Arabidopsis thaliana: one gene and its partners. The protein of the gene in region 1 interacts with the protein of each later gene in a pairwise test. Each region holds a gene or a part of one and is shown in the gene's direction. Other genes may lie near its edges. The genes, in order: PPR2, SUA, AT3G22550 and ARCK1.

Region 1 (7,026 bases):
CGTCATTGGAGGTAGGTCGGCAGGTAGTTGACGAGGGATGAGCTATAGCTAGACGAGGAGTTGGACGAGCTGACTAGCTGACAGCTAGGCGGCGAGGACATGGTCGCTGTGATGGGAAGAGCTTGAAGACGAGCTGAGGAGCTTGAGGACGAGCCGAGGAGTTTGAAGAGCTGAAGAGCTTGACGAAGAGGAGCGAGCTGATGAACTACTTGAGAAGGGCCCAATCCGACCCCTAACAAAGACTTATGTTTAGATATGTTTTCATGCGATCCAAACTATACTATATATTTTTTTGGACGGATTTTTTAATAAGTTTTATGGAGTTCACAGACGAGTTTGAACGAAGCGTTTTCTTTATATATGTGCTATGCGAAATAAAAACTTGAAGACAAATTTAAATAATAATGTGATGTAGTAGGGCAATTGCATAATCGATAAATCCGGATAAGTGTGCCCCGATACAACAAAAGCAACAACGTTTACGAAAATTTAACAAGTCCAAAAGTAACAGACATGATAATAATATCCTCATTACAAAACTCAACACACGATCAAAATAAGTGAAACATAACATAAACCATAAACCCTCAAGTTTCAATACGTATCAGGAGATTTAATGGGGGGGGGGGTTAAAATCATATACTCCTCCTTGCCGAACTATTAGGGGTCGGATTGGGCCTACTTGGCCCAATGCCCAAACCCAAGTCAAAAGCCCAAAATAAGTTCCAAACCAAGGAGGAGTATTAAGGCGAAGGGTAGTTTCGTCAAATCCCTCGATGAATGCCCTACACGCGTAGTGCTATAAATACGGAATAGCATGTCATGTCGAAGGGGGGAATTCCGCCTGACACGCAGACACAGAGTAGCTCGCCTTTCTCAAGTAGCTCGTCAGCGAGCCCTTCTCAAGAAGCTCGTTAGCTCGCTCCTCTTCGACAAGCTTATCAACTCGTTCTCTTCACCAAGTCCCTCAGCTCGTCTTCAAGCTCTCCAACTCGTCTTTAAGCTCTTCAAACTCTTCAGATCGCCATTAAGCTCAACAAGCTGCTAAGCTCGTCTTCAAGCTCCTCAACTCGTCTTCAAGCTTCTCAGCTCGTCTTCATGCTCCACTCAACGACCATCTCCTCGTCTAGCTGTCATCTATACAGCTCGTCCAACTCCTCGTCTAGCTATCAGCTCATCCCTCGAAAACAAAACTCATCTACCTCCTCGCCTAGCGGCAGTTCGTCCATTGACTGCATAGTCCACCTATCTCGTCGTCCAGCTCGTCTAGACCTTCAGCAAACAACTCGGTTTATCCAACTCGTCTCTCTACCACGGTTCATCCAGCTTGTCGCACATCTGCCGGCTCGTCAACTACCTGCCGACCTACCTCCAATGACGGCCTAGCTCACTTATTCTAATATGAACTACGTGTGGCTTGACCCCTTTCTAATATGGACTACGTGTCGTCTCGCTTGACTATCACCGAGACAGCACATTGTCAGCTCGCCCGTCTCACGAAGATCGTCCGTCTCAAATAGCTCGTCAGCTCGTCCTTCTCAAGTAGCTCGTCAGCGAGCCCTTCTCAAGAAGCTCGTTAGCTCGCTCCTCTTCGTCAAGCTTATCAACTCGTTCTCTTCACCAAGTCCCCCAGCTCGTCTTCAAGCTCTCCAACTCGTCTTCAAGCTCTTCAGCTCGCCTTAAGCTCTTCAGCTCGCCTTTAAGCTCTTCAAACTCTTTAGCTCGCCCTTCTTACAAAAACAAAAAAGGATATCAATTATGTAGATCAAAACAAAAACAAAAAAGGACTTACAAGGACGTAGATATCAATTATGTAGATCAAAGAATAAGCAGTCCAAATTCCAGCGTTGATGAAACGAACTAACGATAGCCAAAACGGCATGTACTTGAAGGTCTTAGTCTCCGGCGGCATTTTGTCCTAATTGTTTCACGCATTAAAAACTTATCAAAACCAGTTTAATAGTTTACTTATCTATATATTCATCAATAAGTGAGAGCCAGAGAGAGAGAGAGAGCTTACTATGGTAAATAAAAGATAGATGATAACAATGTTGTAAACGTTGCAAACAACACCAATGAATGTATGCTTGCCGGCCGGATAAACTCCCAAATCCCCAGATAGTCATACAATAGACTGTTGCCACAAAACTAAACTCCAACGGAAGCAATAGATAAAAGAGTAATATCTGCACATCAACATCGACATCATCAAAATCAATATACAATATTTTTCTGGATTTGTTTTTTTTTTCTTTGGGATATTTCTATAGAATTTAGTCAAGATTGTGTTTGTTTGTTACCACCTTTTGTGCACCAGTCACCAATCCTTATTTTTATTATTAAATCTATTTTTGATACTATAATTCGTGATTTTCCTTTTAGTTTTATATATATATATACTTACAGAGATGCGAGCTTCATATTATTATTTTTATCTTTTTGAACACCAAAAAAATAGCCTCGTATTATTTTTAAATGATCAATTATGTGATCATATTTAAAAATACGATCCGGTTTTTAAGGGATTTGAACGGATCAAATGTGTTTCCGGTTCGGTTATATAAACCGGTATTTTACCATATCCAACCGAAATGAGTATCGACGGGAATTATCCGTAAACAGAGTGACAGTGAGGTGTGAAGGAAGAAGACGATGGCGTCAATGTCTCTCTCCTTTTCTTCTTCGCTATGTTCATCCAGAATCCCCGAAGGTAAGCGTAGGTTTCGTCACAGAGATGTGGGCATCGTTAGATGCGTTTTGGCTGCTTCGAAATCTTCTCCGGGAAGTGTTACGAAGAAGAGGCTTTGGAAAGACGGCGAATTCCCCGGAATCACGGAGCCGGTTAATCAGAGAAGAACTCCGATAAAGAATGTGAAGAAGAAACTTGACAGGAGAAGCAAAGCTAACGGATGGGTTAACACCGTCACTGAAACTTTGTCCGATCTCATCGCCAAAAAGCAGTGGTTACAAGCTCTCGAGGTATTTCGATTTTCTCTCTTCTCGTTCATGTTTGATTGAATTTGAACTCAATTTTGAATCACGAGTATAATTTAGCTGAAAGATGATTTTGATTGAATTGGGTATTTTGTTGATGATCTTAGGTTTTTGATATGTTGAGGGAACAAACATTTTATCAACCAAAGGAAGGAACTTACATGAAGCTGCTTGTTCTTCTCGGTAAATCTGGTCAACCCAATCGTGCACAGAAGCTGTTCGACGAAATGCTTGAAGAAGGACTTGAACCAACTGTTGAACTCTACACTGCTCTTCTCGCTGCTTACACTCGCAGCAATCTCATCGACGATGCTTTTTCAATTCTTGATAAAATGAAAAGCTTTCCTCAATGCCAACCTGATGTTTTCACGTACAGCACTCTGCTCAAGGCTTGTGTGGATGCTTCTCAGTTTGACTTGGTGGATTCGTTATACAAGGAAATGGACGAGCGTTTGATAACTCCAAACACTGTGACCCAGAACATAGTTTTAAGTGGGTACGGTAGGGTCGGAAGGTTTGATCAGATGGAGAAAGTTTTGTCTGATATGTTGGTGAGTACTGCTTGCAAACCCGATGTGTGGACTATGAATATCATCCTTAGTGTGTTTGGAAACATGGGTAAGATAGACATGATGGAGAGCTGGTACGAAAAGTTCAGGAACTTTGGGATTGAGCCAGAGACTCGGACTTTCAATATTTTGATTGGTTCTTATGGGAAGAAGAGAATGTATGATAAGATGTCGTCTGTCATGGAATACATGCGAAAGCTAGAGTTTCCGTGGACAACATCAACCTACAACAATATCATCGAGGCGTTTGCGGATGTTGGTGATGCAAAGAACATGGAGTTGACATTTGATCAGATGCGTAGCGAAGGTATGAAAGCAGACACAAAGACCTTTTGCTGTCTCATAAACGGATATGCCAATGCCGGTCTTTTCCACAAGGTGATAAGTAGTGTTCAGTTGGCTGCTAAGTTTGAGATACCCGAGAATACTGCCTTTTACAACGCGGTGATATCAGCGTGTGCTAAAGCAGATGATCTGATAGAGATGGAAAGAGTGTACATAAGAATGAAGGAGAGACAATGCGTATGCGATTCAAGAACGTTTGAGATCATGGTCGAGGCGTATGAAAAAGAAGGTATGAATGATAAGATCTATTACTTGGAACAAGAGAGGCAAAAGCTTATGGATCGCACTGTTGCTACAAAAGAGATGGAGAATCTTCCGGCAGGATGATTGCGGTTTGTGTGTGAATCTCTCTCTCTCTCTCTCTGCAAGGAGAGATCGATGTCTCACTTGAAAGAGTAGAATAAAAGAGTTTGTAATACACTTGATTGTTCTTGCAGCTATGCGTGTTATATATTTTGATGGGCCCAAAATTATGAATAGAGGCCCATAGATAAACTGTGACGTGCACAAGAAATCGGACAAGTCCAAAAAGTGGATAAGTGCGTGTCGTCTTTCTATAAATAATCTCTTTTCTCTCATCTTTTACCGTTTCTTCTCGAACAATCAAAAACGAACTAACCAAACATAAAATTGAACACATCCTCTTCCTCTGCTCTCTGCAAACAAAAAAACACCGATTCGGTCAGGAATCATTCGTCGTGAAATCTGTAATGGGGATTGTTGTCAAGTCTTTCAAGGATCAATTCTCCTCTGGTTTGTTCTTCGTTAATCTCTTTCTGATTCTTTGGAATTTTTTTTCCTTCGAAATGTGCTTCTGAAGCAAAGTTTTCATCTTTGTTTGAGGATATAGATGAGAGATTGAAGGAGTCGAACAACATCATTGCGAAATATCCAGATAGAATACCTGTAAGTTATTTCATAAATTTCATGTTTGATTTGTTTCTTGGTGTTTCCGTCTTAGTTGCCGTGCGATTGTGGATTTCCTTAGGGTTCGAATGATTTACTCAATTAAAAAAAAGTCTTCGTTTGACTTGCATCTCTCGAATTTGCTAGAATCTCTGTTTCAATCTTAGAATTTCTTCGCCATGGTTTGATGGATACGATCTGGGATCTGAAATTTGACTGATTTTGTGCGGTTTGGTGTTGATCCAATCACTCTGGTCAATGTCGGAGACGACTTCTTTAGTTGAGATTTGATCTATCACCAACAACAACCCAAACCAATTTGATTTAGGGATTTGGATCTGTTCTTGGTTTGGTTTCTTCATCAGATTCCAGCATTTATGGATGGGTTTTATTTACTTATGTAGGTGATCATTGAGAAATATTCAAACGCAGATCTGCCAGACATGGAGAAGAACAAGTGAGTTGTGACATCAATTTAGCTGTTGGACCAAACCAAGTGTAACCTGTCTAACTGTGAATAATCTTGTTTTTAACTCTGTATCCCGCATTTGTTTATTGTAGATACTTGGTCCCACGAGACATGACTGTTGGACATTTCATCCATATGCTAAGCAAAAGGATGCAGTTAGATCCATCCAAAGCTCTCTTTGTTTTCGTACACAACACTCTTCCTCAAACCGGTAAGATAAGAAGTATCATCATCCATGTAGAGTGAGACTTTACCTGCAGTTTTCCAAAGCTTTCCATTAACACTTGTCTTGAATTATGCAGCTAGTCGCATGGACTCTCTCTACAATACTTTCAAGGAAGAAGACGGGTTCTTGTACATGTGCTACAGCACCGAGAAAACTTTCGGCTAACAAAAGATTTGTCGCTTCATATCGAAATCGAAGCGCACTCTGAATAATCCATTTGTTTGATTCCTATGTTTGTGAATAACGTCAGCTCTTGTTGTTACTGTTATTGTTGTTGTTAGCTGACATTGTACAGAAAAGCTAAAAAAAAGAAAGACATTTGACTTTGTAAATTATGTATAATCCAACTATGGCAATAATAATAAGACCAAGTGATGATGATTCACACGAAACTCTTTTTGCGTTTTGTTCTTCCCTATAAAAAAAGAAAAGAATATAGATACTTTCGTGGAAGCACGTAAGTTTGGGGAGATGTGGTAAAATGAGACCTAAAGAAATTGCAATGTCGGTGCGGCGGTAAACGTGTACCCTACGACTTGGATTGTGTGTTTTATGCGATAAGGTTTTTAAGAAAACCGCAATTTTTAGAATATTGTTTATGTATATCCATCCATCATATGGTTAATCTTCTCTACAAGTTTATTTTGCCTCTTTTGTTTATACACATTTTATGTTCCGATTACATATTTTATTCCTTCTTAATCATCACTTCTAACATGAGGATTTAAAACTTTTCTGTTTCCAACGAGTTTATAACTACTTAATTAATGCCTCTATTTTAGTTCAATAGTGATTAATGACGCGTTGGCACCATCTCAAACTAAACTCAATATTTCGGAGCAAATAAAACAAAATTTCACAAGGAGACCAATAATTGATCGAGTATATTCTTGGGGGGATGTTACGATGCCATCCATGTCCAAAACTATTTGGATCAAAGCTTCTTTTTGGAATTTTTGTGCTCTTTCATTTCATTTGTATATAGATTCGGTTATTCCTTGACAAAAAAAAAGATGGTTATTCCTAATTAACTGCCACATTCTTATTTATAAATATCAATGTCGGTTACAAACACGATATAATGTAATAAAATAGTTGATCCAGGACGTAATAATTGTGCTCCCAGTGTGTTAGTTAGACTTGTTATTTTTATTTGCTATAAAAAGGATTAGATTAAGAAAGGATAACCGACAATTTAATTTTAAACAGAATTTTAGACAAACAATGTATAGTCGTAATCTGCGGTGGTTTTATTGTTTAAGATGATTTGTTATGTGGATCGAAACCAAGATTATAGTATTTCTATCACGACTTTAACCAATGTGAACAACTCAAGAAAACAAAAAACAAAAACAAAAAAGAGTTTTTCTATATATGATTGATAAATTTAAAAGTTGCTACATAAATTTAAAAGTTGCTTGATAAATTTCAGTATTTTACATTGTGAATGAGTACAACTCTGCTATTTGGGCCAGATTGGGCCTCTAATTTAATAGATTCACAGCTACAGTTTGAAG
Region 2 (10,645 bases), about 18 Mb from region 1:
AGTCCTCTGAGAACAACTTCTTCCGGTAGTAGCAGCAGCAACAACCGTGGTCCTCCTCCTCCTCCTCCTCCTCCTTTAGTGATGGTGAGAAAAAGATTAGCTTCCGAGATGTCTTCTAACCCTGACTACAACAACTCCTCTCGTCCTCCTCGCCGTGTCTCTCACCTTCTTGACTCCAACTACAATACTGTCACACCACAACAACCACCGTCTCTTACGGCGGCGGCTACTGTATCTTCTCAACCAAACCCACCACTCTCTGTTTGTGGCTTCTCTGGTCTTCCCGTTTTTCCTTCAGACCGTGGTGGTCGGAATGTTATGATGTCCGTACAACCAATGGATCAAGACTCTTCATCTTCTTCTGCTTCACCTACTGTATGGGTTGACGCCATTATCAGAGACCTTATCCATTCCTCAACTTCAGTCTCTATTCCTCAACTTATCCAAAACGTTAGAGACATTATCTTCCCTTGTAACCCAAATCTCGGTGCTCTTCTTGAATACAGGCTCCGATCTCTCATGCTCCTTGATCCTTCCTCTTCCTCTGACCCTTCTCCTCAAACTTTCGAACCTCTCTATCAGATCTCCAACAATCCTTCTCCTCCACAACAGCAACAGCAGCACCAACAACAACAACAACAGCATAAGCCTCCTCCTCCTCCGATTCAGCAGCAAGAAAGAGAAAATTCTTCTACCGATGCACCACCGCAACCAGAGACAGTGACGGCCACTGTTCCCGCCGTCCAAACAAATACGGCGGAGGCTTTAAGAGAGAGGAAGGAAGAGATTAAGAGGCAGAAGCAAGACGAAGAAGGATTACACCTTCTCACATTGCTGCTACAGTGTGCTGAAGCTGTCTCTGCTGATAATCTCGAAGAAGCAAACAAGCTTCTTCTTGAGATCTCTCAGTTATCAACTCCTTACGGGACCTCAGCGCAGAGAGTAGCTGCTTACTTCTCGGAAGCTATGTCAGCGAGATTACTCAACTCGTGTCTCGGAATTTACGCGGCTTTGCCTTCACGGTGGATGCCTCAAACGCATAGCTTGAAAATGGTCTCTGCGTTTCAGGTCTTTAATGGGATAAGCCCTTTAGTGAAATTCTCACACTTTACAGCGAATCAGGCGATTCAAGAAGCATTTGAGAAAGAAGACAGTGTACACATCATTGACTTGGACATCATGCAGGGACTTCAATGGCCTGGTTTATTCCACATTCTTGCTTCTAGACCTGGAGGACCTCCACACGTGCGACTCACGGGACTTGGTACTTCCATGGAAGCTCTTCAGGCTACAGGGAAACGTCTTTCGGATTTCGCAGATAAGCTTGGCCTGCCTTTTGAGTTCTGCCCTTTAGCTGAGAAAGTTGGAAACTTGGACACTGAGAGACTCAATGTGAGGAAAAGGGAAGCTGTGGCTGTTCACTGGCTTCAACATTCTCTTTATGATGTCACTGGCTCTGATGCACACACTCTCTGGTTACTCCAAAGGTAAAATAAACATTACCTTTTAATCACTCTTTATCTATAAATTATTTTAAGATTATATAGGAAAGATATGTTCTAAAAAGTGGCTTTTTTGGTTAATGATTGGGGAATGAACAGATTAGCTCCTAAAGTTGTGACAGTAGTGGAACAAGATTTGAGCCACGCTGGTTCTTTCTTAGGAAGATTTGTAGAAGCAATACATTACTACTCTGCACTCTTTGACTCACTGGGAGCAAGCTACGGCGAAGAGAGTGAAGAGAGACATGTCGTGGAACAGCAGCTATTATCGAAAGAGATACGGAATGTATTAGCGGTTGGAGGACCATCGAGAAGCGGTGAAGTGAAGTTTGAGAGCTGGAGGGAGAAAATGCAACAATGTGGGTTTAAAGGTATATCTTTAGCTGGAAATGCAGCTACACAAGCGACTCTACTGTTGGGAATGTTTCCTTCGGATGGTTACACTTTGGTTGATGATAATGGTACACTTAAGCTTGGATGGAAAGATCTTTCGTTACTCACTGCTTCAGCTTGGACGCCTCGTTCTTAGTTTTCTTCTCCTTTTTCACAAACAATGTGCCCATAAATAGATTTACCTGTTTTTTTTTTGTTATGTATCAAAAAGAGAGGATTTTTTGAAGTCAAATTGTTCTCACTCACACTCTGTATTGGCTACCTGATTGGTGGAATACATAGAAGTTAATCATGAAGATTAGAACACTTGATATTGAAGAAAACACTTGAAAATGGTACATCAATAATAAAAATGATAACACGTTTAACTGAAAAATCATTTACAAATACACAATTCTTTTGAAGGCTACCATTTTTTTTTTTGGGAATTGTTATGTATTTTTTTTTTAGCAACTTGAATTGTTTTGGTTTACTTTTTTCCAAAAAAAAAATATATACATGTTGTTTTTTATTTTTGTTATGGCAAAGAAATTGAGATGTTTGGATTTTTCAATTAAAAAAAAAAAAACTCATCTACGCCTTTTCATATTTCGCTTGAACAACAACGAAACCCTAATCTGGTTAAAGTTGGATTCGGCCAAGTCCACCACCGTGGAGCTCTGAATTCATTTCTCTTGTAATTCATCGATCGCTGTTGAATATTTTCAATTTGAGTTCCCACGGTAGAAACCATTCCGATTTATACGGCTACTTCATCGCTCGAGCTCTCTCGTTTCTGTATCGATCGCAGCGTATCTGATTTGTCACCGGTTTCAGGCTTGTTTCTCTGACCTCTGGTTATCGGCTCCCTGATTTTGCGCTCTATCTATTAATCAATCTCTTATTCCAAGTCTTTGTTCCGCTGTTATCACAGCTCATCTTCATCTTCCATTCACTGGTGTCTTTGGTCCGGCGTCGTTGTGCTGCTTTCAGTTCATCACAGGTATTCTCATTTTTACCTGTTTCTTTTTTATTGAGGATTTCGTGGATGTGACCAGTTCAAGTTTTTTGTATGTTACTTTGTATAGCTTTTAAGACTCGATTACTGAGAATTTAGGCCTAATCGTCAGCTGAAAATATAATGATCTCTACTGTTGTATGCATTCTTCTCGTGCTTTTGTTACTTCATCGCCAATGCATGTTTTTCTACTCTGAGAGTGAGAGAATCTCTAGCTAGTTCCTACAAAGTCTCTTTGTGATCAGTGTTGGGAATTCTTAATTATATATGCATTAAGATATACCTGTCTCAGACTCTATACGTGATTTTCAGGAAAGAGCTTTAAATATTAAGCTTTGAATATTCTCTCAGACCATCAAAGATTTGCTTGGTGCACTGGCCGGAAATGGATCCTAGTCGATATGGTCGTCAGCAAGAATGGGATAATAACAGTGTAATTGTGGTTTTCTCCTTACATATATGGGATGATAAACAAGATATTTTTAGGGATGTTATGAATCTCAACTCATCCGTGGAGTGAGAGACTTGGGAGAGTGAGGATGTGGATGGGATTTGGCTAATGTAATATCCGTCAATGATGTTTGTTGCTGACATAGCTTATTCTCTTCAATTCACAGGCTCCGGAGGGTTATGGTACTCAGCATGATCCAAATCATCGGTGAGTGCTAGTAAAATGGATTACATTGATGTAGTTGTTAATTTGTTATTGCTCATGGGGGTATATTTATTTTAGCTACTGTAACTAAATTGTATTTCTTGTACTTTATTTGGTTTGGTTACTTGTGCCGAAATATTCATGATAGTTCATATTTCATTTTTTTAATATCTTTTCTGTACCTATACTACATTGCTCTTACAGGTTTGGCGTATCATATGATGACGGATATCCTGATGAAAGGTTGATGCGGGATGATGTCTACAACTATCCACCTGGACATAATACTCTGGGTGACTTGCCTCAATCTAGAAAGCGAAACTATGAAGAAAATTATCCCAGTGAACTTCGCAGGCAAGAAAAGCCTTACATCGATTCAAATTATGCTGCTGACTATTATCATGATAGTGAAGCTGGGAGTCGTAATGGACATTACCGTGATCATGAACACGAAAGGTCGTCCAGATATGATGGCTGCGATGACTATTCTTGTAATGATAACAACTATAGATCGAAAAATTACCATCATAGCAGAGATGATGGTCGTGAAAAAGATTATGATTATACTCGCCGAAGTTATGATTCTGAGTATGAAAGGGCCAGTGTGAGAGATGGCAGTCGAAAGAGCCGTGATCCGCAGGACAGAGAACGGAATTCTCGAGATAGAGAATGGGATTCACGTGATAGGGAGTGGGACAAAAGATGTTACAGCCGCGAAAGAGATGAGAGTCCTCATAAGAGATATGAGAAGTCACGATCTCGATCTACCGGACGTGGGGAGTTCTCTAGATCAAGATCTCCTAGAGGTCGGAGCCATGGGCGGAGTTACCGGGAGGACAGCTATGAGGGGGATCACTGGAATGAAAGTGAGAGGCGAAGAGAATATGAAGATAGACATAACCAGGATCATTTTTCTGCTGTATAAAATATTCTCTCATCCCTGGTCTATATTCTTTTGTTGCGAAGACATTTAAAAAATCCGTTCCTATATTTTTATGGTTTTTGCTAGACCCCATCCGCCACTGTTGTTGTGAAGGGTCTCTCTATGAAATCAACAGAAGAAGATCTATACCAGATTCTGGTAAACTCTTCATTTTTTTGAATCTGTATGTCCTCAGGTTTAAACAATTTTTCATGCATGACTTCATTATTCCCATGTGCATGCTAGGCTGAATGGGGTCCTTTGCATCATGTTCGTGTTATTCGGGAGCAAAATTCTGGGATTTCTCGTGGATTTGCTTTTATTGATTTCCCCACGGTGGTATTTGCTTTCAACTAATCTGTTAATTCCTTGCGCTTTTTCTTGTGATTTCTTCAACACTGTGTGCATTTATGTATTTTGTCTGAGCAGGATGCCGCACGCACCATGATGGATAGAATTGAGCATGATGGTATAGTTTTGGATGGAAGGAAACTTATGTTCCATTACAGGTCTTTTTTTAAATAAACATAAGACTTTGATTGATTTAGATATTACCTATGGAGGGATCATAGAATTACTACACATTTAAATTATTGTTTCTTGACCGTTTCAGTATCAGAGTATAACATTCTTACACTAAATTGCGTGTGTTGTAGCAGCCAACCTACTGGTAGGGCTGGTGTGTCCCGTAGGCAGGAACATGCTTCTAGACGCAGTTATGGTGGAAGTCGAAACATGATAGTTCCCACAGATTGGATCTGTACAATCTGTGGCTGTATCAATTTTGCGCGGCGAACCTCTTGCTTTCAGGTTGGTGCATTGTTTTGGATGAAAGTTCTGTAAATTTCATTGTCAGGACTAGAGTATAAACCCATCTGTTAAGAACAGAAATTACATATATTTAATTACCGGAAGAACTACTCATTGTTTGGTGATTCTAGAGTCTCAAACAAAGTGATAACTACTCATGATTTGGTGACGACAATACCTTAAAAAAAATAGAACCGATAAAACTTTCAGAATATATCTGTTTTTTGCTCCTTAGAGATTATTTGCAGTTCCTTTTGGTGACGAATATGTATCATCAATTGACACTTTGTTTGAGACTAGGGTGGCATACATATTTTGGTAGTAATGGTAAATGAACATTTTAATTTAATGTCGACACATTGATGTCCATACCTATGCTAGAATGTATTTGTTTGCATATACAATAGTTTGTTTGGAAATAGAGAAATTTCCATTTTTCAAATGTCAATAAAAAAAGAAGTCAACTAAAACCCTTTAACTGATCTTTTTTGATGGGTTTTTAATTTATCTTTCCTTCTATTTACTTAAACTCTGTGAAGTCTTTATCAATAGTTTAATCTTGTGGTGGACAATTGTATCTGTAGCCCTTCTTTGCCATGCCGCTGTCTGTGTCTTGATTTATGATAGAACACTCAAAAGTCCTAAGTTCAGTTATAATATGGAATAACAAATTTGTGGCCATTGCATAAATGTCTGTGATCTCTGTCTCCTTATGCAGTGTAATGAACCAAAGACCAAGGATTCTCCTTCAGCGGATGTAGGTTTATCAAACTCTGCAGCAGGAAAACGAATTTCTGAGACAGGTTCTGATCAGCATTTTTATTTAAGATGTTTTAAATTTCTTTCTTGAGTCAGAAACAGTCGCAACTGTTAAGGCCATAGTCTTTGTACTTTTCTACATGCCATATATACCTAAGATACATTCTGCTTATTTTCTTTTCCAGGTCCAACTCATGTCCTGGTTGTACGTGGGTTGGATGAAGATGCTGATGAGGAAATGCTTCGGTATGAATTTTCCAAACATGCTCCTATCAAGGTTAACAAAAACCCTTTTGGATTCGTTGTCTATTAAGATATTGTACTTTATATGTCAGTTGACCTGGTTTTCCTCTTTCCGCCATTTTGTAGGATCTTCGTCTTGTGAGAGACAAATTCACTCATGTTTCACGAGGATTTGCATTCGTGCATTTCTATTCGGTAGGGTCTCAAAGCCAAGTTGGTTGTTGAACTTACTCCTTAAACTCTCTCTTCTGCTTCGCTTTTCCCTTACTGATGATTTAAATTGCAAGTGTGCCTTTTGATCAAAGATTTATTCGATTGTGTAGAAATTAGAAACCCAGTCTAGATGATCAGTACCACCTGGTTTTTATTCTGCTTGTGAAGAGTGATTATGTTTTATAGTTTTTTTTTTTTATAAATGTTTAAGTGTCTCTTTAGTAATCATGATCTACTAGTTTTGTGGGTATTTTTGGCAATGTTTGGTGGTGAGCGCACTCAATCATTTATTTTGTCGTACTTTTTTATAATCTACATTCGACAACCACCTTTTGCATTGACTTGTAAAAGCTCTTGTAGTAGATTATTTATTTCGTCACTGATTCTCTTACCAATTTCATATCTGAACGGTGATCAGATTTTGTAGTAGAACTGCTTGATATGTCCAAATATCTATTTTCCCCCAGTTTATGTGTGTATTTGACTTTTTTTTAATCCACCTACCAACTTGAAACAGAAGATTATGATTATGTTCGTGTAGGTTGAGGATGCTACTAAGGCACTTGAAGCAACAAACAGAACAGCTCTTGAAAGGAATGGTAAAATTCTTAGAGTTGCGTATGCAAAGAGTGTTCATGGTTCTGGAACTGGTATATCAGCACCCTCGCACTCCAACAACCTCGCTGCTGCTGCAATTGAAGCAGCAACGTTTTCTCAACAGGTACTTGAAGATTGTTTTGATCCAGTTTCCCTCGTTTGTATTGGTGATCACACATTGATCATTTAATTAAATTTTCCAGTATCTTTAGATGAGGATTGTCATTCTTATGATTCTTCTACTCCATGTGCCCTGACACTCATGTTGGTCCTTATTAGTATGACGGTGTTGGATGGGCTCCAAAGGAATACAATACTGGTGAGAAACAAAACACTGGAGGGCAGGCCCAGGGTGTTGGGGAAATTGAATCCCAGAAAGGGACTTCTGCTCCACAGTCTGGCTATGTGTGGGATGAAGCATCTGGTTATTACTATGATGCGGCTTCTGGATACTACTACGATGGAAATTCAGGTCGGCATTTACTTATATTGTTATTTATTTCTTTGAATTGATTGTATGGTTGGGTAGCTGCAGCTCTAATTCCCATATCTGGCATTGCAAAACATGTAATGGGCAAAAGTAAGATTGATCCTGTTGGCTGGTTGTATAGTCCTGCTATAGATGTATTCTATTATAGGATAACTTCTTGGCAAAAATAAGTCGTCAGCTCTGGTTTGTTCAAACTATCCTGTTCTTTTTTATGATTGTGGAATTCTTATACTATGTATGCACCAAACTAGCAAACATCGAGATACAATCAATCAATCATACAAGTGTATGTCTTAATTAGACTTTTAAATAATGGCTGTAGGGATTCAGCAAGTGTTATATGATTACTATTATGGCTGCTGTTGGACTTCCAATGGAAGTTTTTTCTTTTAGTTATTGCTGAGTTATGCCTTCTTATATATGTGTATGTGCCTTAAAATTTCGCATCTGATATGGCACAATGATAGACTGTTTTAATGATCTTGGTTATCACTAGGCACCTCTTCTTGGTGTGTGGTGATGGGAAACTTGGTTTCACTGGTATAAGAAGTGGGTAATATTCTCTATTAATCGTATGTTTCTAAATATACAGGTCTCTATTATGACAGCAATAGTGGGCTTTGGTACTCGTATGACCAGCAAACACAACAATATGTTCCTTGTCCTGATCAGAACAATGAGAGTAAAGTAACAGAAAACCAACCAGACTCTGCCAAGAAGGAGAAATCCAGTCAACAAAAGGTTATTATCTCGGCGGCTACTACCCCTAATGTAGAAAAAGTTCTGTCCTTACCAGATGCGGTTCAGGCGGCTGCTGCAGCAGCAATTGCATCAGAGAAGAGAGAGAAAGAGAGAGTGAAAGAGATAAAACTTGCATCAAAGACTAGCCTACTCGCCAGCAAGAAAAAAATGAGTAACGTTTTAACAATGTGGAAGCAGCGGAGCCATGAAACCCAAATACAACGTCCCTCACCCTCACTTGGTGACAATCCACCTACAGTTTCGGCTGAAGCAAGGTCGTCTTTCTCCACTGGACAATCCATGGGCAAACTGAAATCTGATGTAATTATTGCGAAGGAGAGAAGTACCTCCAATCATGGAGTTTCTGCCCTGACAACTGCAGAAAGCTCGAGCAGCAGTACAACAGGAGGAACTTTGATGGGGGTGATGAGAGGTTCTTTTGGAGGAACTTTGGGTGGAGCTTCTTCTTCAGCTAGTGTACAAATGCCGCCAATATTACCTTCTGCTTCTCCAGCTTCGGTTTCAGTTTCTGGGAGTGGGAGAAGAAGGTTCTCTGAAACACCGACTGCAGGGCCTACTCATAGAGAACAGCCTCAGACATCATACCGGGACCGTGCTGCAGAAAGAAGAAACTTGTATGGCTCATCAACATCAAGTGGAAATGATGTTATTGATTCAAGTAAGAGCCCTTGACTCTAGACTTTTCTAAAAATAGAATCCTGAAATGAGGTTTTTATTGTTGTTATAATTGGGAAAATGGTTCGTTTAAATGAAGGTGAGGATTTAATGGGGTTGAGGAAAGGTTCATCGGATCCAACACCATTTCCTCCTGGTGTGGGTGGACGTGGGATTACAACAAGCACCGAAGTCAGTAGTTTCGATGTGATTACAGAAGAGAGAGCAATAGATGAGAGTAACGTGGGAAACAGAATGCTGAGGAACATGGGTTGGCACGAAGGATCGGTAACTTTAAAAACCAGAAATTTGATTGATGGGTAACGTTTATATGTTAATGGTGATTGTTGGATTGTGGTCAGGGTTTGGGGAAAGACGGGAGCGGAATGAAAGAACCGGTGCAAGCGCAAGGCGTTGATAGGAGAGCAGGACTTGGGAGTCAGCAGAAGAAAGTTGATGCTGAGTTTGAGGTTCAGCCTGGTGACACTTACAGAACTCTTCTCCATAAGAAAGCACTTGCGAGATTTCGTGACATGTCTGACAATAATTGACTCTCTCTGTGTGTAAAGTCAGTTGGAAACTTCTAAATTCCGTTGTGCTTAAACTGTGAAAGTGATTTTGATTTTGTTCTTTTTGTTAAATTATTATTAATGAAAAGAGACAGATTAGTACTACTTGAGTTTATATGGACCTTAAAACCTTTGTATTATTAATGTATCTGGAGGCAACAACGACCCGAAGACAACAACAGTATTTAAAAAACTTACCAAAATAATATATGCTTTCAAAGCTTTTAATTACGAAAGTTAGCTCACAAAAAATATCAGATAAATACAACTGTTTTTGAAAATTTCAGAATTCTATTTTGTTAATGAATAATAATTAATTGTTATTTCATGCTCATGCACATTAATAACCTAAAAAGTATTGTTTGCAGGTGTTCGAGAAGAATATATGCATTGATGTATATCAATTTCTAGGCATTACTTTTTTTTCATCATAATTGTTAGTAAAGGTGACATGTAAAACTAGTTAATCTCGTGTCTGTCATTGGCTCTTCCCAAAAACAGATTGGTTAATACGTTAGTTGGAACCATTGTTATAATGGCTGGGTTTAGTTGCTGCCGGCTATTTCCGGATAAATGCCTCAAAAGATCTTTCAGTGAATCCACCGTGATTTGCGTTGTCATAACGTGAGATGCAAATGAAGAGCTTTTCTCTGTTAATTTAGTTTTTACACAACCCTATAAATATAGTTTTACACTTAAAACCCATACCAATTATTTTTGAAATAAGTTGGTATTGCCCAACTTTTTTATCAAGGTTTTTTCAACATGAAGAAATGTGAGTTTTTGATTGATTCAAGTAAACGTAAGTTTTGCAAAAGGGATGAAGGAAATGTGATCACTGATTTATTGATTTGAATATTTTGATAGGGTTAATAACAGGAGCAGTGGTAATAGTGTTGATTGGATTAGGGGCATGGGCTATTGTTTCCATTACACCTCCACCTCCTAAGAGATGCGGAACCCCAGGTGGACCGCCTATTACCGCCCCTAGGATACGTCTCAGCGATGGCCGTTATTTAGCCTATGAAGAACATGGAGTTAGTAGACAAAATGCCACTTTCAAGATCGTCTTTATCCAT
Region 3 (7,421 bases), 6.0 Mb from region 1:
CAGTCATGGTTATTTAGTGTGTATTTTGCTTGAAAATGTAATTTCTAGAACCGCAAAGTTAAATTTTTTTATCAAATATAAATCAACAACTAACCAAAAAGTAATAACGTACTAATATATATATACTTCATCTGTTCCTAAAAAAATGACGTTTTGGGTTTTTCATATAAATTAAGAAAAGTAAATTTTATATTATTTTTATTATTTTCTATTAATTTAATAATATAAATTCTATTTTTCTCTGTATTGGTTACTAATAAAAATAATAATAATATTAATTTATAATATCCTACTATATTATTTGGGAAGTACATTTTAAATATAACCTTAATTTTTGTAAGTAATTACATAGGTATGCCATTAGAAATAAAATTTTAAAGAGTAAATTAATTTATCTTTTTAAGAATTAAAAAGTCAAATACTAATTTGATTAATTAAATTTAATTAAAAAACGAAATACATTATTAATTTTCAAAAATAATAACCAATCAAAATCAACATATAAGATTTGATATCTAAATTTTAATTAATTTAAATTAATTAGAAAAACGAAATACACTATTAATTTCCAAAAAAGTAACCTATTAAAATCAACAAATTAGATTTGATCTCTAAATTATCATATTAATTTTTTATTAATTATTATAGTTCACTTCTCATCTTTATATGATTCTATTTTTGCGAAAAATAATATCATCATTATAAAAAAAAAAATTAGAGTTTTTTCGCATATGCCATAATTTGAATTTTTGAAAACGAATATAAACTGTTCAATACATGAAAAAATATTATAACGGGTCATAATTTGAAATATTTATATTCAATTTCATACATATTATATTGAAAATTTATAATCTTATATACTACAATAATTAATAACATATTAGATTTTTTTATGTGTATGATGTGATTCAATTTTTAATACAAGCTGGAAAATCGTAGAATTGACGGGTTTAGATCGATATTAATACAAGATGGTATACTACATGTGAAACTCTTAAATTAACAATCAAACTACAAGTGTATAATCTTAAACACTAAACAATATAGATAATATCAACAAAACATATACAACTCACAATTTACTTTTAATATTTTATATACAAAATCAATTAAATCTTAAATTAAATCTTAATCACATAAAAATTAGCACAAAAAAAAGTATTCAACAATTAAAAATTTATCAAATCTATGTGTTATATAAGTTTTGATACTATATTCGAATAAAGTGTAATATACCTTTTCAATTTGTATTATTTAACTAATTTAAGCTAACTAATATATTTGCTAATCTTATACCTATCAAAACCGACTATCGTTTCTTATCTCTATACTATTTTTGCAAGACTTTTTTGGTGGATTTGGGTAAAAGTGTATTCGGGTCATATGGTACATTCCCCTATTAAATAAAAATGGTATACTCCTATGTTATTAGCTAAAATGTTTAGATTATAATTCAGAGTCATATTATTAATAAAATTAATATTAATAAAATAAATGGCTTTTTGGCAAGACGGATTTGGAGTGACGGGTTTTTGAATCAACATTAATAAAAAAAGTTAAATATAATTAATATACCGTTTCAATACGGGTTAAATCTTTAATTTATTATTTTTTAAGACCACTAATATTAAACATATCAAATCATCCTAATTTAGAAAAGATTATATAAAACCAAAAATGTTATGGGGTATGTATAATGTTACTATATATAAAATATAAATGTATTAGAGAATGATATAATTTGCAAAACTTTTATATTCTTAAATTTTAAAAATTACTACTTTAAAAAAAAAATCACGGGACGGGTAAAGAAATTATAGAACGAGTTTTATTTTGTAATTGGGTTATATGGTGGATGTATTTGAATCAATATTTATAAAATTTTAAAATATTATTAATATGCTGTTTTAATAGGGGTTACAACTTTAGTTTTTCAACAATTGTCTCATAGATTCGTGTTATAGCCTTACTTAATAACAATTATAAACTGTAAAATATAAATATTTTATAAAAATAAAATTTGCAAATTTTAATATATATTACTTTTAAAAAATAAATCGTCCCGCGGTATACCGCGGGTTAAAATTTAGTCAATTTTTATGGAACAAGAATAAAACCTAAAACATTAAACTTTATGGACCATAGAGTATGTAGTAGCAATTAATAGTGTTTGTTTAAAGTAATGATTATCAAGTTTGCTCATACGAATTTATCACTAGTTTTGGTTTTAAGTAGTGATATTTTTTTCGTGTTATACATATATAATATAACAAGTGTGTAATGTCCACCCAAAGAGACTAGCCAGCTACGAAAGCAAAAGAGATATTCAGTTAAGATTGTGAAATATATTCGTACGTATGATCGTATCTCATTCCATTACGATTCTGAGCGACCGAGTCCACCCACACTTAGCTCCCATGCTAACAATATAGTCATCATCACCACCACAACGTACCTTAACATCATTACACGAGAAAAAGTATATATGAAATAATGATTTTAAAAGAGAACCAAAAGTTCTCGTATTCATCATCTCTATTTGTCTCCCGTTGAAGAAACTAGCTTAGTTCGTGTTTATATGAGTTACTCCCGTTGAAGAAACTGCGGTTAAGAGAAATTTTTGATGGATAAAGTTATACTTATAGTCACGATAAGAAGATATGATCGATAAATCCATATACATATGTGACATTATTTTACTAGCAAAGGATCTCTTTCTGTCTTTCATATCCCATCTATAATTTTAGATGAAAATGAAGTAGAATAATATATTTTGTTTCTACATTTCCATCTCCAAAACAGTCTTCTTCAATATCTTTCTTATTCACACCTTTTAAATATGTAATGTTATCACCTAACAGTAATAGACAATTTACTTAATCACCATATGCAAGTGAGAAGTACATTTTTCTTCTATATTAAATGACATGCAAGACGTAAACAACTTTGCAAACTTCTGTTTTGAAAACGTTTTAGTACACTATAATGTGAATTTCTAATCAAAATACGAAAAGTTATATAATACTATAATACTTAAAATAAATCACATATATTTCAATATTTGTGATAGTACATTAGTACTCCTCCATTGATAGATTAGTCGTAACTAGTACGATATACAACACGAGTATTATTCAACTTCTTTCTCATTAAATTTCTAAAGTTCCTTTTCTCTAAAATAAACAAATAAAATAATATAGAAAGAAAACTATAAGAAAATTCCAAAATAAAATAAAAAGACGAAAGGGTCAGTAGAAAACGACGTGAGTGGTTCCTTGGCATAACCCAAAAAGCAAAATAATAAATCAGCAAAGAATAAAAAGACAAAATTCCTAAAATCAATAATAATTTATACAATAAAACGAATTTAGGAAGTTTCACTGGTGAAGTGGTTTTCTTCACCCACTGATTTCTATTGTAAATCTCTCTCCCTCTATATATGTGATTCATATAAGTATTATTATTTGATAGAGAAGCTAAGTGTGTGTCTCTTTAGTGCTCTCTGTTTTCTTCTGCTTATGAAAAAACTTCATGGCGAATTTTGAGGATATGGAAGAGAATCAGTGGGGATGTTTTGTTTTCTTTTCTCTTTCTCAGTTCATCGAAACTATAACCCACTAAACATACAAAACCAAATTATTTATAAAAAGCAAAAGCAAACAAAAACAAATAAACGGATCAATTTCTTTCTTTTGTTTGTTTCTTCTTCTTTTCTCCAATCTCTAGTGTAACGTTTCATGTCACTTGATAAATAAAATATTTTAGGAAGAAAGTGCGAGAAACTCGGGAGTTATACAAAAAAATAACATTTTTGTAGAAAAAAAGCTCTCGTCTTTTCAGTTACTTTTCTCTTTTGTCACACTTTCATATTTTTTTCTCTAATCATGGAGGCAACAGAATTGCATTAGCTTCATTTTCTCTCATACTTCCACAACCTGTAACTTTCTGATCTTCCAGGTTAGTTCACACAATTTTGCATGATTGAGTTACAAAGTTATGATTTTTATGTGTTATTGAGTTACATGTTATGATCTTTTTGTGTAATTGTTATAAAGTTTTGATTGTTATAAAGTTTTGATCTTTTTTGTGTGTGTGTGTGATTGAGCAGTGAATTATGCTAAAGAAGAGATCAAGAAGCAAGCAAGCTTTAATGGCGGAAACAAACCAGAGTCAGAATCAGAAACAGAGTAAAACGACGCCGTTTCCGAGGCTCTTCACAGCTTTTAGTAGCTTTAAAAGCTTCACTGAAAACGACGCCGTCGCGAGTCCAACTTCAATTCTCGACACCAAACCTTTCTCTGTTTTGAAAAACCCATTTGGATCCGATAACCCGAAAACCCAAGAACCCGAAACCCGTCTCAAACTCGAACCCAAAAGAATCGGACTCGCCATTGTCGATTCTCTAATCCAAGACGAAACACCCGAACCCGGACCGAGATCCGGGACAATTCTATTCGGGTCTCAGCTTCGGATCCGGGTCCCGGATTCTCCGATTTCCTCGTCGGATTTCGGGATCAAAACGAGGAATTCTCAACCGGAGACGAAGAAACCGGGTTCCGAGTCGGGTCTTGGGTCTCCCAGAATCATCTCCGGCTATTTCCCGGCGAGCGATATGGAGTTATCGGAGGATTACACATGCGTGACGTGTCACGGGCCTAACCCGAGAACCATTCATATATTCGATAACTGTATCGTTGAGAGCCAACCCGGCGTCGTTTTCTTCCGGAGCTCCGACCCGGTTAATGAATCGGATTCGGATTATTCCCCACCCGACAGTTTTCTCAGTTGTTGCTGTAACTGTAAGAAGAGTCTTGGGCCTCGTGATGACATTTTCATGTACAGGTTTGGCTTATTTTCATATTTTTACATTTCAATTAAATGGTGACATTTACAATGTGAAATTTAATATAAATTATGAGAAAATTAATATTTAGAATGGCTAATTAATTTAATTTTTTAATTAATAATTTTTAAAAATAAATAAATAAGTAATTTTTGTTTTGATTTTAATTTGCAGGGGAGATAGAGCTTTCTGTAGCAGTGAATGCAGGTCCATAGAGATGATGATGTCAGAGGAAAATGATACTAAATGAAATAAGTTTTTATTTGAGCTATATATAAAAAAAAAGTTATGATAATGACTATGATTAATAAAACGTTAGATATGGTGAATTTTGTTTAGTTGCTTTTGTTTTGGTTTGGAGAAGAGTTTGGTATCGGTATCTATGTGTATTATGTGTCTACATGCATAATCATATATACATGTTTTACTTTAATGGTTACTTTTAATCTTTAATAAACAGTAGAGATCACAATAACTCAATTCCATTTGCGGTGTCAAGACAGAAAACTAAAACACGAGCATCAAAATTCAAGAAGGAGAAGACACATAATTCTTAGTTTCGTGTTTTGATACTCGGACATGTAAATTAGTCTATTTCTCGTCTTCAATGTTTGAAATCGTGATTTGAAAATCTCCTTAGATTACTAACTAGTCACCGAGCTATAGATGCATGTATGATTTTCTTACTATAAGTAACTATGTTTTGATATGAAGAAGATAACAAACAATGAAATGACAATCGAACAATGTAAAAGACAGTTGCAAAGATATGTCACATTGAGGATATTCAATGGCTAGTTACGTGGAAATGATGTTATAGATCAAGAAGCTCTATGTGTTTTCACATCCTTCTTTTGTTTTTTCTTTATCTAAGAGACAATGTGATATAAACAACTTGTAGTACTATTTCGAAGAGCATTACACTATTATATAGCCCTCATCTAATTTGAATTGATACATCAAAATCCTAATAATTTATGTCTTACTTGAGTGACTATCTTAAATGAGCACATTGAATTTTATTTGAGATAATAATTATACAAGAATGACTGACACCGTTTCGTTGTCAACATTAAAAACTCTGATTATTTTTTCCAAAAAATGATATAAATTAGTGAGGTACATTATGTTAACCATTAAAATTTGTATAAGATCCTCACCACTCCAATTATAAACAAATTTAAAGCAATTTTGAAAGCTTAGTTGACAAAAAAAAAATATATATATTCAAAAGCTTAAGCCTGTTAAGGGTCAGATTTTTAACATTCTGGATCATGATTTAAGTAAAGCCCGAGCCCGTTTCAATCATTCTTATTTTCGACTGACTTTTATATATAACATGAATTGCGCTCTTAAACGGTCTGGTTCAATCCACAAACAAACCATACTAAACCGAAGTTCTATATATAGTGGATTTCGTTATTATTATGTTTGAAGCTAAGCAATTGGTATGGTTACGATTGGTATTTCTACTATCATTGATTTATTTAGTTGAACACATATCAACTAGATTGTATTTCCATGCACTTAACCTACATAGACACAGATAACACTTATTACTTGTTATATGCTTAGGAATAGTTTACTAGTTTATGTTCCCGCAAGTCCGCAACTCGTAAAAGTCGGACCCATGAAGTCTTACAAAATCCAACTTTGAAGTCAGCTTATGGGCCTACGAGCGGCGGCGTGATTGGCTAATACACGTGGTGGGCCAGATAAAATTCTCTCTTTGACAATTTGTCCTACGAGTGGAGGCTTGATTGTATTTTGAGAGGTTCGTAATTAGTACATTTTTCATTACAGTTCCGGTGAACAATCCATTTGGTAAAAACTGTATAGATACATATGATGAAGTAATTCAAAATTCTCTAAAGCTTCCATGTCTTTAACTCAAGTTTTTCACTATCATATCAGCCAAGTCCGACTAGGCTAATCGCGGATGTAGATCACTCAGTTAATGTGACCCATGACTTTAATCCGGGTTCACAAAATCTTCAAATGAAAGCTTGTCAAAACTCGAGAAAGAATGAGATGTGCGAGAAAGCTCTAGGATAAGAGTTTACAAAGGCAATTTTAGTCCTTTTATATATATATATTACTATTATAGTGTTATCTGATCATTGGAAAGGTGCATGATTAATCCCAACCAAACCACGTTTATATAAGTGCAAATTTGCTTAGTAGTATTTTGAATGGACACCATATTTTATAGCATATCGAAAACAAAATCAAATAAACAAATTCGAGGGGTAACAAAGACAAACCCACATGCATTATGCATACATGTACACGTGAAAATTTTATTTCTGGCTACTACTTAACATGCGACCATTAATTGAATCTTATACTTCATAAAAAATAGTAAACAAAAGTTACTTAACAAAAAAAAAAATGAATATTAGCTCAATTAGGTCAATAAGTAAAGGCTTCTCTGTTCCGCTAATTTTGTCAAAACTCCAATCAAAGCGTCATTGTATTAATTATCAAATCACATGCATGCCCGAACAGGTTGATGATGATAATGAATTTATACAAAATTGTCAAACATATATTTATAACTGAGGTTTTCTTTCTT
Region 4 (7,025 bases), on another chromosome or scaffold:
TTTGAAATAATGGTGTCACACTAATAATACTGATGAGATTTGAGTGTTTTGATTTCATAGGAAGCTAAGTATTGCATTATATATGCATGTATAATTATGATATAGATTTATATGTACATAATTTCTAAACATATTTCATTTTTATATATATGTACGTACGTAACTACATTAACAGGTATGTATGATTATGATATAGATTTATTATTGTCGACCACCACGTAATACAAGATCAAAATGGTGATCAAAGAAAAATTTATGTACCTTTTGAATTTTAATTATTTTTTATATGTACATGTACCCGTCAATAAATAGCTGACCAACGTTTCTTTTAATTTATTTCTGTTTTGTAAAATTACTTCTCTTTTTTACTCTTGGGCAAAGAGGAATTTTCAAACCAAAAATAGAAAAATACTAACGCTTTTTCTTTTCAAAATCGTCACTATACCATTTTGAATGTGTGTATATGTGGATGCATGCACCTATGTACATTTAGGATTTATGTATGTTTATTCAATATTGAGGTAACAAAGAAGCATTTGACACACTTTTCACCCAAATAGTACAATTACAAAGGCCTCTTTATCTGAGTGATGAGTGATGAGTGATGAGTGATGACAGTGAAGGTGTCATTAGCATGTGTCTAGATCAGACTATGTTGATTCTTTTTATGATTTCTCTATTTGTTATATTTTGTATAGTTATAAATTATTTTGTATGTTTACTATGTGGTTATTTAATTACATGTACGTACTTTATTAGACAAAAAAAAAGAATGATATTTTAGTTTTTTTTTTGAAGCAAGCCAAGAGGGTTAAAAATCAAAACTAACTATAGGTGTTGTTTACACATACTGTATTTACCTGTTAATCAGTTTTTAATTACTTAATTAAGCCATATCCACATGACTAGAAGATATCTTTAACTCAGATTGCAACATTTATATATTATGTTTTAGTTATTGATATTCTTACTTCATTATAAATCCAAAAGATCAGCAGAAGATTGATACAATTTTTATTAGATCACAATACTATAAGCATTATCATTAAATTGTGAGAAATCTAGCTTAGACATTTGCTTCTTAATTATTTCCTTTAATTTGACTTGTTTTTGTTTTTGATATACTGATTTGATTTTTGAAATTTTAATTTCAGTATACCTAAAACAGTAGAAAGATATCAAAAGCGAATACAAGATCTCGGGTCTAACCATAAGAGAAATGATAATTCACAGGTAACCAAACTTCATAGAATTGTTAGTTTATCATGGTTATTTTCATATATATACATTTGCTAAAAATATACTTATCCAGAGCTCAAGTAAAAAGAAATTCTATATCAATATCTAGTACAATTTTATGGTGTAGATCCTTTGGTGTACCACTTTTAAAAAATTAATATACATGCTAAAGTGTATGCTTTATTTATCGAACATGGGTGATAATTTTTTATATTAATATTTGTACTTACAATTTTGGTTAAGAAAATATGTTTTGCATTTCTCATGATCAAACCTTGTTGACAGCAATCGAAGGACGAAACCTATGGCTTGGCGAGAAAGATCGAACATTTGGAGATTTCGACACGGTTTTTGAACTCAAAATACTTATACGAATATTTTGTTATGAATGTAACGTTTACATTGTAAGCGTCTATTTACCATATGTTTAAAAAATATATACATTTGCAGAAAAATGATGGGAGAAGGACTTGACGCATCTTCTATAGAAGAGTTACAACAATTGGAGAACCAGTTGGACAGAAGCTTAATGAAAATAAGAGCCAAAAAGGTAACTTCTAGATTATTGTATATGTGATCATTTCTTAGTTTTAAAATAAAATCTTCACTCTTATCATATGGTTATTGTTTCATCGAGATTTATGACAATGACGTGGTGGCCGCCTGGTTCGATTATCACAAATGAGTTGATTATGTAAACAATATAAACATGGGATCATCCTATAAACACTCCAAATACACACATACACACACACACACACACACACACACACTTGGAGGCATGCATGCATGCATGCATATGTGTTGAGAAAAGACTTATATGTTATCTTCTTCTTCTTTTTTGTCATCACCTTATATGTTATCTTTAATGAGTCTTTTACCAACTAATTTAGCTATTTAATTCCTTAATTTCAGTACCAGTTATTACGAGAAGAAACTGAGAAATTAAAAGAAAAGGTAACATGTAGCTTTTTTATTAATTTAGTACAAATGTATTGGTCAGGTACTAATCATATTTCCCATAATTAAACGGTTAAACCATATTTCATGGTTTATTGTCAATATTTTAGGAGAGGAACCTCATTGCAGAAAATAAAATGCTGATGGAGAAGGTACAAATTAATATTAACTTACGGGCTGATTTATGTTCTCAATTCTCATTCTATTATTATGAAATTATCTGCTTTTTTTCAAAAAGTGTGTTTTAATTTGAGGAAATGTGTGAATGAAGTGTGAGATGCAAGGAAGAGGAATAATAGGAAGAATATCATCATCATCATCAACATCAGAACTGGATATAGATGACAATGAAATGGAAGTGGTGACTGATTTGTTCATTGGACCTCCTGAGACTCGACACTTCAAAAAGTTTCCTCCTTCAAACTAACATATATAGTACAATGCTTATATAGATATTATGTAGGGAATTACTTTTTTCCCTGAAGAAAAATTGATGTTACTTACTGAATTTAGCAGTTGCATAAAAAAAAAGATTACTGCATTTAAGCTTTGCTTTTTTTTTCTTTTTGTTTTTTTCTTTTGTATCGTCTCACCCAACTTTGCAATCCTAAAATAATTTCAGAATAAATTGTTTAACAGGTTTTTTATTTAACATAATTTTTTCATATCTTTTTAAAAATAATTGTTTAGAATATAACTAATTTGATCGATATATTATATGTTCGGGACAAGTTCTTGGAGAGTGAAAACAAATCCGGGTGCGTAGCTAGGTCGGTTCCCTATAATGGCTTTGCGGATAAGATCTCCATGTTTCATGCTAGACATGAAGATGATGTATGATTTATATACGAATAATGGGTCAGTTGGAAAGATTTTTGAATCCTAGTAGAGGTATGGTCTTTTGAACTCGGGAAAAGTTGCATTGCACCGACCTCTTAAAGTCCTTTTACACTTGGTCTAGACCCAAAAATCGTTGGCTTTCTATGATCGGTCTTTGTCAGCGTGTCATTTACGTGACGTGGTTGGTTTGGTTCGAAATTTCTAAGTAGCTGAAAATTCAGTTCCGTTCCTTCCAAGAACATCATCTTGAAGTAGAATTCTTTGTGACAAACAAAAAAAAATGGTAGAATTCTATGGTTATATATATATATATATATATATATATATATATGTTTATTATAACAACAGACCTAATATCTTCTATGTTTTATGTAATATCTATTTATTTTTTGTTATTTATTGAACCTACATACAAATAAAACAAAACAAAGTAAACTTCTAAATAATATATTTTTCATTTTCATTTTAGTTGAAATATAATTTGATTTTCAATACCAAACTATATAATATCAATATTCAGAATAAGTTAATTGTTACGTATTAAAAACAATGCAAGAACAAATGAAGAAGCCAAAATATCCAAAATGAATAGTAGAAGTCAAGGTCAACATAGTGGACTCTAACAATATCAACGAAGTCAACCGTTGAAGAAATTAAATAACTTGTCTAATAAGTTCTTCTTTTTTCTTGGATTAAATACTTGTTTGAAGCAAATTCAGAGACACTGTCTTCGTCTTCATCTTTGCTATGGCCGTTACTTCGCTTCTCGATACCGTTTTCCGACGTAGAAAGAAGAAGTCTACTGAGTTTATAAGCTGTAAGTATTCATGTTTCTTCTTCTCAAACCTTTTCCTCACATCTGTTACAAAACACACAAAACTATGTTTAATTCTACTTGTCTCTACTAGATACAGCAGTTTTCGAATTCGACTTGGACACCATTAAAGCTGCAACAAATGATTTCTCAGAACTGGTTGGTCGTGGCGGATTTGGTTTTGTTTACAAGGTTTGTTTTTAGTGGTTTCGTACGTTGGTTCGTTTTTAGTGTATGGTAAGAAATTGTAATTAAAACATCCTTTTAAATCATTTTCAGGGTAGGCTTCAAAATGGACAAGAAATAGCAGTCAAGATTTTGTCTACAAGTTCAATTAGAACTGAGAGACAGTTTCATAACGAACTTATTATTTTGTCTAAGCTTAAACACAAGAATCTGATCAATCTTCTTGGTTTCTGCACTAAACGAGACCAACATGGTCTTGTTTACGAGTTCATGCCTAACTCAAGCCTCGATTGTTTTATACTCGGTTAGACAGTTTAAAACAGAGTACCCTTTCCAAATACAATCTAGTCTAGTATCAAGTTCTCATCATTAGTCATTGTGGTAATGTGTTACAGACCCACACAGAGCTGCTCAGCTAAATTGGGAGATGTGCCGAAACATTATTGATGGCATAGCTCGAGGGCTACGTTACCTTCATGAAGAATCCGGGTTATGGGTCGTTCACCGCGACATTAAACCTGGAAACATTCTATTGGATTCAGATTTGAAACCGAAAATAGTGGGATTTGAATTGGCGAGGACGATGCAACAAGGTGAAAACGCAGCTGAAACAACTGAAATTGTCGGTACCGTGTAAGTGAAGTTTTGTGATTTAACATGCTTGAGGGTAAATGTTTTGAAGATGTTTAGAGTGTGATGTATAAAACATTTTTTGATTATCAACAGAGGGTATTTAGATCCGGAGTACATACGAAGCGGACGTGTTTCCGTCAAATCTGACGTTTATGCCTTTGGAGTTACAATCTTGACGATCATTAGCAGAAGGAAGGCTTGGAGTGTGGACGGAGACTCTCTAATCAAATATGTGAGTTTATATTTAAGTAAAAGTTTGTATGATGGTAATTAAGTGGTTCCTTAATCGTATGAATTGTCTTCTTTTAGGTTAGGAGATGCTGGAACAGAGGAGAAGCCATAGATGTGATCCATGAAGTGATGAGGGAAGAAGAAAGAGAATATTCGATAAGCGAAATCTTGAGATACATTCACATTGCTTTGCTATGTGTGGATGAGAATGCTGAGAGAAGGCCGAATATTGATAAAGTTCTGCATTGGTTTAGTTGTTTCTCTACTCCTTTACCTGATCCAACATTTGGTAATAGATTTCTTGTAGAGGAAGAAACAAATTGGCCCTGGTCGCCATCTTTATCTCCTGGTCACAGCTCTGTCACGTCACCCATATCTTCACGTTAAGGAGATTGAGTGCTCTGTTTTATTAGACTGACGAGAGTTTATGATGAAAAGAATTGTTGGTTGATAAGTTCAAGTCGTAATTTGCTATTGTCTTCTTCTTTTTGTGCCCAAATCCAGTAAGACCATTTAGGACGATTCAACAATTATTTGATTACTTTGTTTTCAAATGACAAAGAATAAAATATTTTAAAGAACACTCTCAGCATCACATAAGCAGTTTAAGTAAATACTCTTATCTAATAAATCAGGGGATAACCAAGTGTCGTTAGCTCAATTGGTAAAAACCCTACACGAAGCTTATAGGTCGCCGGTTCGAGTGACACTTGAAACGAAACTAATATTACATGTTGTGGTTTCGGGCCTGGAAGATTACAGGCTTCGGCCCAGAACCTCCTGGTATTAAAAAAAAATAAAAAATAATAATAATTCAGGGGATATAGCAACATTTTTACCAAGTATTGTTAATGTTCATCGCGCTTCCAGTTCTGTTTGCGTTGCTTCGTTTATGGAGAATACGTAGTCTAGCTGTTGATCCCCGTTCAACACGTTTGAGAAAGTTGGTTGTTTCGGAATCGGAAGAGTGTTATCGTTGCTCAACATATAAACGATTTGTGAAATCATGGGTCTATCTTTAGGATGATCTTGAACACAAAGAAGTGCGATATGAATGCACCGCATCGCTTCTTCTAAAGAATACGAACAACACATTGGTTCATCTATAATGCTTACACCTTTTGTTTCACACCAAGATTCCCATTCCTGAAGATGATCAACAACATATAGTTTGGGATTGATCTAAGGTAAGTTACGTTTTTATATATGGTAGATAAATGATATTGAACTATAGAAACACTTACATAAGCAATAAGGCTGTGTTTTTGGTCGTTATGAACAAACCTTGTCGCCTTTTTACCCGATATGATCTCCAATAACAACACTCCAAAGCTGTATATATCCGATTTCTCTGAAATCACTCCACCTAATGCATATTCCGGTGACATATAGCCGCTGAAATTAACCGCTTATGAAATTTAATCCAAAGATTCTAATGTAAATACATATAGGTAGTGATTGTTTTTTCCTTTGCATTGACATGTAAAAATTATGTACTTACCTCAGCACAATGTTTTAGTTTTTTCAAACATCATTCATAAATAAGTTGCAAAGACACTAGGAATGAAAAAAAAAGTATGTGTGTTATAATACTGAGAAACATAAACTTAAACTCAACATTTTAGTGTTTGAAACAAGTGGATACATAACTAACTATACGAGATGTACACTTACAATGTCCCGACGATTCTTTGGGTGCTATCATCGATTTGCTTGCAACCAAAAATCCTTGCGGTTCCAAAATCTGAGATCTTAGGATTCATCTCATCGTCAAGTAGAATATTGCTTGCCTTAAGATCTCGGTGAATGATCCTGAGACGTGAGTACTCATGCAGATATTGAAGTCCTCTTGTCGTCCCATTTACTATTTTCATACGTGTCTCCCAATCCAATTCCCTAGACTTTAAAGAATCTATATAGATATATATATATGTGTGCCCAAAAACAGAACGTTAAGAAGTCAATTATTTATATTTCAAATTCAAATGTAGTAGTTTTGGATAGTTATATTCACCACTCACCAAAGAGTAAACCATCAAGGCTCTTATTCGACATGTACTCATAAATTAGGAGCTTCTCATCGCCTTCAACACAATACCCTAAAAGCCTCACCAAGTTCTTG

What was found.
Region 2: the proteins of PPR2 (region 1) and SUA interact in a two-hybrid assay, tested with the Arabidopsis thaliana proteins (one large-scale study listed by BioGRID).
Region 3: the proteins of PPR2 (region 1) and AT3G22550 interact in a two-hybrid assay, tested with the Arabidopsis thaliana proteins (one large-scale study listed by BioGRID).
Region 4: the proteins of PPR2 (region 1) and ARCK1 interact in a two-hybrid assay, tested with the Arabidopsis thaliana proteins (one large-scale study listed by BioGRID).

Annotation. Positions count from the first base shown.
Region 1 is NC_003074.8:1,953,867-1,960,892, reverse strand, and holds PPR2 (Tetratricopeptide repeat (TPR)-like superfamily protein), read left to right. Parts: upstream 1-2,588; 5' UTR 2,589-2,652; coding exon 2,653-2,979; intron 2,980-3,101; coding exon 3,102-4,235; 3' UTR 4,236-4,484; downstream 4,485-7,026. Other genes in the region: ATG8H (Ubiquitin-like superfamily protein), read left to right, coding at 4,619-4,661, 4,759-4,814, 5,219-5,271, 5,376-5,494, 5,586-5,674.
Region 2 is NC_003074.8:20,070,595-20,081,239, forward strand, and holds SUA (suppressor of abi3-5), read left to right. Parts: upstream 1-2,507; 5' UTR 2,508-2,711; exon of another isoform or gene 2,712-2,808; 5' UTR 2,809-2,877; intron 2,878-3,204; 5' UTR 3,205-3,277; coding exon 3,278-3,325; exon of another isoform or gene 3,326-3,509; coding exon 3,510-3,550; intron 3,551-3,751; coding exon 3,752-4,466; exon of another isoform or gene 4,467-4,556; coding exon 4,557-4,628; intron 4,629-4,715; coding exon 4,716-4,808; intron 4,809-4,898; coding exon 4,899-4,978; intron 4,979-5,125; coding exon 5,126-5,279; intron 5,280-5,997; coding exon 5,998-6,082; intron 6,083-6,223; coding exon 6,224-6,315; intron 6,316-6,407; coding exon 6,408-6,476; intron 6,477-7,035; coding exon 7,036-7,215; intron 7,216-7,370; coding exon 7,371-7,563; intron 7,564-8,173; coding exon 8,174-9,001; intron 9,002-9,097; coding exon 9,098-9,285; intron 9,286-9,359; coding exon 9,360-9,548; 3' UTR 9,549-9,790; downstream 9,791-10,645. Other genes in the region: SCR (GRAS family transcription factor), read left to right, coding at 1-1,487, 1,602-2,031; AT3G54240 (alpha/beta-Hydrolases superfamily protein), read left to right, coding at 10,332-10,341, 10,434-10,645. UniProt on the Arabidopsis thaliana protein: Splicing factor that controls alternative splicing of the developmental regulator ABI3. Reduces splicing of a cryptic intron in ABI3, leading to a decreased in ABI3-beta transcript. Regulates the splicing of the receptor-like kinase SNC4/LRKL-2.6.
Region 3 is NC_003074.8:7,989,502-7,996,922, reverse strand, and holds AT3G22550 (NAD(P)H-quinone oxidoreductase subunit, putative (DUF581)), read left to right. Parts: upstream 1-3,334; 5' UTR 3,335-3,960; intron 3,961-4,111; 5' UTR 4,112-4,117; coding exon 4,118-4,845; intron 4,846-5,020; coding exon 5,021-5,096; 3' UTR 5,097-5,520; downstream 5,521-7,421. UniProt on the Arabidopsis thaliana protein: May act as an adapter to facilitate the interaction of SnRK1 complex with effector proteins, conferring tissue- and stimulus-type specific differences in the SnRK1 regulation pathway.
Region 4 is NC_003075.7:7,144,483-7,151,507, forward strand, and holds ARCK1 (Protein kinase superfamily protein), read left to right. Parts: upstream 1-3,641; 5' UTR 3,642-3,786; coding exon 3,787-3,856; intron 3,857-3,903; exon of another isoform or gene 3,904-3,947; coding exon 3,948-4,045; intron 4,046-4,132; coding exon 4,133-4,343; intron 4,344-4,434; coding exon 4,435-4,672; intron 4,673-4,765; coding exon 4,766-4,904; intron 4,905-4,981; coding exon 4,982-5,290; 3' UTR 5,291-5,443; downstream 5,444-7,025. Other genes in the region: AGL14 (AGAMOUS-like 14), read left to right, coding at 1,155-1,233, 1,525-1,586, 1,690-1,789, 2,155-2,196, 2,310-2,351, 2,471-2,626; AT4G11900 (S-locus lectin protein kinase family protein), read right to left, coding at 5,759-6,049, 6,148-6,298, 6,578-6,815, 6,925-7,025. UniProt on the Arabidopsis thaliana protein: Forms a complex with CRK36 that may negatively control abscisic acid (ABA) and osmotic stress signal transduction.